Xenopus tropicalis: one gene and its partner. The protein of the gene in region 2 purifies or fractionates together with the protein of the main gene of each other region. This does not show direct contact. Links are inferred from orthologs where the notes say so. Each region holds a gene or a part of one and is shown on either strand. Other genes may lie near its edges.

Region 1 (4,125 bases), about 150 Mb from region 2:
CCGCTCAGCAGAGGGCAACTTGCCAGTTACAACCATTGGCCCGGTGGATGCCAATTCGTGCACCAGCTAGAAACACGGGCACAGCATGGAAAACTGAAGGGACCACAAACTATTTGGTGCCCAAACTGCACACTCAGTTACCTGCACTACCCGTGTGTGCCCCCTGGCAGGGCAATCATTAGGGTAACTAGGGAGCTGCCATATGGCAGCACAGGGCAGTGTGACACGGAGCCAGGAGGGATCCCAGCGAGCAAATACTCCCAGAAAGCCCCTCCCTCCCACACAGCAAACACAGTAACCTATTATAGACCCATGGGGGGCAGGGAGAAGTGCAAGCTCTTTGGGGCAAGTCACAATGCAAAATTATTAGCCGCAACACTAGTTACCCTGCAGTAACCCACAGAGTGGGCACATCGGTGCCACCTCCCACACTGGGACCAGGCAACCAGTTACCTAAATCCCTGTCATGGGCAAGTGGCGACTGTAGAGTCAACTCCCAGCAACCCCCTCCCACAACTCCCAGCAACGCCCTCCCACAACTCCCAGCAATGCCCTCCCACAACTCCCAGTACTGCAGCATGCCCGTGTCAGGGGGGGGCCCCCCCCGAGAGGCAGTTACTCATGCATGTTATAGCCCCCAGCCCAGGGGCCCCTCAGCCAGCCCCCAGCCCAGGGGCCCCCCAGCCAGCCCCCAGCCCAGGGGCCCCCCAGCCAGCCCCCAGCCCAGGGGCCCCCCAGCCAGCCCCCAGCCCAGGGGCCCCTCAGCCAGCCCCCAGCCCAGGGGCCCTCAAAAAATGAAGCTGTACCCTTACAGAATATGGCCACATGGGACTGGGATAACCCCCCCCCCCAGAAGCACATGGATCTGCCCCATGTTAAGTGCCAGCCGTTACATACCGACAGTTGCCCCTCCACCCCAACCCCCCCCTCCCCATGTGCCCCCCAACAAGAACTCTCCCATACCCAGCTCAAAGCCAGCCAACCCTCTCAAACAGCCCCCCAGTACACTGGCTATACCAGCCCCACAGCCCTCAGTAACCCCCCCCCCCCCATCTGCCCCCCAGTACACTGGCCTATACCAGCCCCACAGCCCTCAGTACCCCCCCCCCCCCCATCTGCCCCCCAGTACACTGGCCTATACCAGCCCCACAGCCCTCAGTACCCCCCCCCCCCCCCCCCATCTGCCCCCCAGTACACTGGCCTATACCAGCCCCACAGCCCTCAGTACCCCCCCCCCCCCCCCATCTGCCCCCAGTACACTGGCCTATACCAGCCCCACAGCCCTCAGTACCCCCCCCCCCCCCATCTGCCCCCAGTACACTGGGCTATAACAGCCCCCCCCCCAGTACACTGGGCTATAACAGCCCCCCCCCCCCCAGTACACTGGCTATAACAGCCCCCCCCCCCCCCCCCAGTACACTGGGCTATAACAGCCCCCCCCCCCCCCAGTACAACTGGGCTATAACAGCCCCCCCCCAGTACACTGGGCTATAACAGCCCCCCCCCCCCAGTACACTGGGCTATAACAGCCCCCCCCCCCCCCCCCCAGTACACTGGGCTATAACAGCCCCCCCCCCCCCCCCCCAGTACACTGGGCTATAACAGCCCCCCCCCCCCCCCCCCAGTACACTGGGCTATAACAGCCCCCCAGGAACCCAGTGGCCCCAGAACAGCTGTTCTACTTTAGTTCCCAGAATTCCCTGCACTTAAAACTTTGGCCCTAAAGCAGCTGCTGGACTACAACTCCCAGAATTCTCCCCCCCAAAGCCCTACATTGGCTGCTGGACTACAACTCCCAGAATTCTCCCCCCAAAGCCCTACATTGGCTGCTGGACTACAACTCCCAGAATTCTCCCCCCAAAGCCCTACATTGGCTGCTGGACTACAACTCCCAGAATTCTCCCCCCCAAAGCCCTACATTGGCTGCTGGACTACAACTCCCAGAATTCTCCCCCCAAAGCCCTACATTGGCTGCTGGACTACAACTCCCAGAATTCTCCCCCCCAAAGCCCTACATTGGCTGCTGGACTACAACTCCCAGAATTCTCCCCCCCCAAAGCCCTACATTGGCTGCTGGACTACAACTCCCAGCATTCTCCCCCCAAAGCCCTACATTGGCTGCTGGACTACAACTCCCAGCATTCTCCCCCCAAAGCCCTACATTGGCTGCTGGACTACAACTCCCAGAATTCTCCCCCCAAAGCCCTACATTGGCTGCTGGACTCCCCTACAGCTGTTTAACTACAACTCCCATGATGCCCTGTCCCACGGCCCGTATAACAAACCATTGTGCCTGTGAGTAGAAGTGCCGCCAAACTACAGCTCCCAGCATGCTCAGTATAACGGTCCCCAGCCGGACCCCTTTCCCACTAACACCCCCGTTACCCGGCTACACTGGCCTCATACCTACCCGTAACCCTCCCAGACAGCTCCCGGCCGGAGACACCAAGGACTTCGGTCCCACAAGAAGTGAAAGATTCCCCCGAGCCTGCGGCACCTACCTGGGGTAGCGGGTCAGAGCAAGCGGTGTACAGACTGGCAGCCAAAAGTCTTCAACTGCAGCTTCTCTCTCCGCTGACTGACTGACAGCCGGCCCTGCTTCCGCTTTATATAGTGGCGAACTATCTCAGCGACTGCAGATCCTTCCGCCCTTCTCACCCCATTGCTCTCCCGTTGCCCCGCTGCCGCTGTGTGACTGACAGCCCGGGGGGGGTACTTACCCAATAACAGACCTGTGCGGGGCATTGCCTGCCTGACGCAGGGTAAATTCTACAGGCAATTTCTCTCACTCGGATATGTGCTGTGCTATCGAAACATTGTACCGTATCCCTCCGCCTTTTCTACTTCTGATTGGCTCCAGGCATGAATGGTTGCTAGGAGACGGATAAATAATTGCAGGGATCTTGCGTTTCAAGGCCAAGAGCGGCCACTTCCTCATATCGGATTGAATCGCATCGTATCGGATTGCATTGTATTGCAAGGGCCCGTGTATCTGTCACACTATAGGTCCTCCGTTTTCCCATTCACTCTGACAGGGAAGGTTTTCAAACTGCCGCCAATCCTACAGCTTTGGGGTTACCCCCCCCCCCCCAAACTGGAATCACATAGTCATGGGGTCAGCCTGAATGTAAATAGGGTGATTGTTGGATGCCCAAAAGTGGGCGGAGCTACAAACAGCCAATCAGATTTTACCTGGAGGAAATCCAACCTGGTGCCATCAGGGTCAGACTGGGGGGAGAGGTCGCCAAGCGGGTGGATCTTCTCCCAATATCTCCTACAGGTGGAGTTCCCTGTATAACTCAGCCTGCAGCCTTGTGCCTTTATATGGGGGGCACAGAACCCCTCAGTGACTGCTAATATCCTTATCATTTACAGTAGGGGGTACATTATCCCTTATAATACATGAGTGATACTCAGAGTTCCCTGTATAACTCAGCCTGCAGCCTTGTGCCTTTATATGGGGGGGCACAGAACCCCTCAGTGACTGCTAATATCCTTATCATTTACAGTAGGGGGTACATTATCCCTTATAATACATGAGTGATACTCAGAGTTCCCTGTATAACTCAGCCTGCAGCCTTGTGCCTTTATATGGGGGGCACAGAACCCCTCAGTGACTGCTAATATCCTTATCATTTACAGTAGGGGGTACAGTATCCCTTATAATACATGAGTGATACTCAGAGTTCCCTGTATAACTCAGCCTGCAGCCTTGTGCCTTTATATGGGGGGCACAGAACCCCTCAGTGACTGCTAATATCCTTATCATTTACAGTAGGGGGTACATTATCCCTTATAATACATGAGTGATACTCAGAGTTCCCTGTATAACTCAGCCTGCAGCCTTGTGCCTTTATATGGGGGGCACAGAACCCCTCAGTGACTGCTAATATCCTTATCATTTACAGTAGGGGGTACATTATCCCTTATAATACATGAGTGATACTCAGAGTTCCCTGTATAACTCAGCCTGCAGCCTTGTGCCTTTATATGGGCACAGAACCCCTCAGTGACTGCTAATATCCTTATCATTTACAGTAGGGGGTACATTATCCCTTATAATACATGAGTGATACTCAGAGTTCCCTGTATAACTCAGCCTGCAGCCTTGTGCCTTTATATGGG
Region 2 (3,513 bases):
GTTGCACCAATTCATCCTGTATTGTAACAAAATGTTTTCTGCACTGCACCACAATAAACTAAAATTATGTGTAAAATCTATGATGCAATATTTATTTTGCTTTGAATAATGGATTTGAGACACTGTACAATCCTTGCCAAAGTTTAGTTTACAGAATCCAGTGTTCTCTGCATAATTAGAAAAATGACAGTAGCAGAACTGTACCCCAGTTTTGTTTGCAGCGCGCACTCGAAAGCTGTACGCCTTCCCTGGAAGAAGACTGGCCACTGTGCATTCCAGTTCAGGTCCTTGGTAGACTTCTCTATGCTCACTGGCATCAGAAGACGACATCTCCAGGCTGTAGCACGTGACTGGGGAACCACCATCAAGCTGCGGTGGTGCTGTTAAAAATAAGAAGGTAAAAGTCAGAAAATGTTGGAAAGCCACAGCTGAAAGCTTTGCTACATCTCTATGTAAGCAAGAAGACACGTGTATAAAAAAAAAAACCTCATTCATTCATACCCCATTTCATTTGCACTTCTCTTGCTCTTGGTCTGCCTTGGAGCCTGGGGGGCTGGCATGGCCCAGGGAACACCGCTGGAGTCTGAACTAACAGTGTATCTGATACCTAAAGAGCCATTAAACACAAAAGTACATTATAGCTGTGATTGCCATTATAGTAATAATAATAATATAGTAAATCACAATTGATCAAAGAAATTTTCCATTGTTAATATACTGAATCAGGTTAAGCTTGCCACAAATGGAAAAAAAAAACATGTTCATTTGGCCAAGCAAGTGGATCTTTCCCCAACATGCCCAGCTTGAAGTCGGACCTCAGATCGAAGAATCAGATCACATTGACAGGATGCAGGCTGTCGGGGTGAGGACTACATCAATAAGCCAATGTTCCTTGTCTCAATGGGAATATTAAACCTGCCTGATCAACATCTGCCTGTTTTTTGGACAGATATGGGCCTCACACAGGGGACAATAAGGTGCCAAGCTTAACTATATTTGTTTGCATCTATAGGACTGTTGTGATCTAGAGGGCAGCCTGAATAAATGTTGTACTACAAGGCAGGGTGGGGTAAATACCTTTACCTTAGGGAAAGCTGCAATGACAATATATTAGGAATTTTTCACTTTAACTTTGCATTATAATTAAAAGTAGTCCTATAGCATATGGTTAAGGCTATGAATAAACACACGTGCTGTTAGCTCCCATGACCATAGTCCCACAAAGTTGGATGCTTAGACTGCAAGGTACGTGACATTACCTGACTCTTCCCTCCATCACTGATGCAATGGACTTGTAAGCGATAAGAAGAGCCTGGACTCAGATGGTCACACAGGTATTCTCGAGCTGTTCCACTGTATACGACATCCCACTTGTTTCCTGCAGGATTAATCATTAATGTCTGATCAGTTTTTGACTGTGTTCTGCACATCTTGGTCTCCTAGTTTCTATATACCAGTCTCCTAGTAATTTGTTTAGAGATGAAATATGGAAAGATTGCTAACGGTTTCCTGCAGTTGATTAAATAAACTCTTAAGTACTGCATCCAAAACCAACTTCCAAGGTCTGTCTCGGTAAAGATCTCAGGCACTTACCATATGTATTTGTAACAAAGAATTTGCTTTTAGAGTGAATAATATGCAGACACTGGCCTGATAAGGAACAACTGAATAGCAATAGCTCGGATGCGCTACAACCAGCTGAGATAAGGGGAAGCGTGAATGAAAAAGAGAGCATAGAAACATATTGTGTAGATGTACTGTTGCAGGGAGATAACCTTTAATAGTATTTCTAAGCACACAATGTACCTTTATATTAAAAAGAATTATTATTTCAGTGTGCCAGATATAGTACATGCTAGGAATAATCCAGTGGTATTCTCTATGGAGGGAACCAATGAATGGCATTTGTGTTTGTGTACATGGTCAGTATGCTTCTGCTACTCTGTTTAACTCATGCTACTACTTTTTCCCATGTGCTCTAATGAGTTAAATTAAACTACTAACATGTATTAAAGAAAACAAACAAGACATATTTAAAATGTGTTTTGCCTATGAAATAACTAAAAAAAAAACCCCAAACAATCTGGAGAGCAAAGAATAAGAAAGGCTAATAACAAAATTAAATGGTCAATTGCAAAACTTTCTTCTTTTGGCAGAAAAAAAAAGAAAATGACATTACAAGTACAATTTCTACATGGATCTCCATGCCTGATAATATGTAAACTGGCGGAAAAGATGAATACCATTGCTGTCTTCAGACATCTCCATAACGTATTTTGTGATTGCTGCTCCTCCATTGTCCTTAGGTGGATCTATAAAAACCAACAAATTCCAGTTTAGAGCTTACTCTTACCATTTGTTGTGTTGTCCCCATTTGCAAGGAAAGTAATAAGAGTGGTCAGAATACTGTTCCCCAAACAAATTAGGCCTCCTCTTATGTAAACTACTAATGACCAGTGAAAAACAGTGCAATATAGACTGTTTCATAAGCTGCCAATGAATCATTAAACATATGGGCTCTACATACCCCATACTATCCTGAAGTTATGTGCATGGACCTTTCCCTTGACAGAAGGCTTTGAGGGTGCTCCTGGTCTGTCTGGACAAGTCACAAACTCCACCACCTCACTTGGGCTGCTCTTGCCTTCAGTGTTATATGCAATGACCTGCAATGACCAACAACATATATTTTCTCATCATTAATTATATAATAGTATTCAGCATTCTACCCTTAAGTCTACTGTTGCCTGGAAAAGATGAAAGGGTTTGCTCTCCTTTATATTTCCCTGTAGTATGATGTATACAATTTCAAACTGGTTTTCATTTTTTTATGGTTTTATAATTATTTAGCTTTTTGTTCAGCAGCTCTCCAGATTGGTAGCACCTATCTGGTTGCTAGGGTTTTCTTTACATTAGCAACTAGGCAGTGGTTAAATCAGAGACTGGAATATGAATATGAGAGGGACTGAACAGAACGAAAAGTAATAAAAAGTAACAATAATAACACAATTGTACACCCACAAACCAATTTTTGTTTGGCAGTTGGGGTCAGTGACCCCCACTTGAAAGCTTGCAAGGTAAAGTATAATTAGAATAATATTTAACTTAAATGAATGCCAATCATGCCAATCTGGGGTGCTGGGTGCCAGGAGAGCTGTTGTTAAGAGGTAAGTTGTCTACTCCTTGGGTAATAAAGGACATGTAATGTGTCTTTTGCACCTCTTTACTAACAAAACGGCATTTTAGATGTAATCGGGGGGGTGGGGGGCAAAGCCAAGTGGTAAAATGCTAAATGGGATAGCAGGCAGCCCACACACAGACAGGAAAATAGCTCACTGTGTCATAATTTATCTTATATAAAGCATTATACCTGCAGTGAGTAATTTACCCTGGAGGGAGAAACTCTAGGGAATAATTACATAAATGCTCTTATAAATATTATATTTATGGAAGCTGTTGTTTTTTTCTTTTCTAAGGCCTGTGTGCTATGACGTATATTCAAGGTGAACTTGC

The links. The genes of interacting proteins can lie anywhere in the genome.
Region 1: the proteins of fibronectin type-III domain-containing protein 3A (region 2) and tent5c purify together in Homo sapiens (affinity purification with western blotting; 3 studies listed by BioGRID, with this or other methods). This does not show direct contact. The link is inferred for Xenopus tropicalis from reciprocal best matches to the Homo sapiens genes FNDC3A and TENT5C.

What each region holds. Positions count from the first base shown.
Region 1 is NC_030678.2:2,821,812-2,825,936, reverse strand, and holds the start of tent5c (terminal nucleotidyltransferase 5C), read right to left. Parts: upstream 2,804-4,125; 5' UTR 2,721-2,803; intron 2,609-2,720; exon of another isoform or gene 2,502-2,608; intron 1-2,501. UniProt on the Homo sapiens protein: Catalyzes the transfer of one adenosine molecule from an ATP to an mRNA poly(A) tail bearing a 3'-OH terminal group and enhances mRNA stability and gene expression.
Region 2 is NC_030678.2:149,087,033-149,090,545, reverse strand, and holds part of fibronectin type-III domain-containing protein 3A, read right to left. Parts: intron 2,667-3,513; coding exon 2,528-2,666; intron 2,313-2,527; coding exon 2,244-2,312; intron 1,379-2,243; coding exon 1,260-1,378; intron 608-1,259; coding exon 502-607; intron 381-501; coding exon 205-380; intron 1-204. UniProt on the Homo sapiens protein: Mediates spermatid-Sertoli adhesion during spermatogenesis.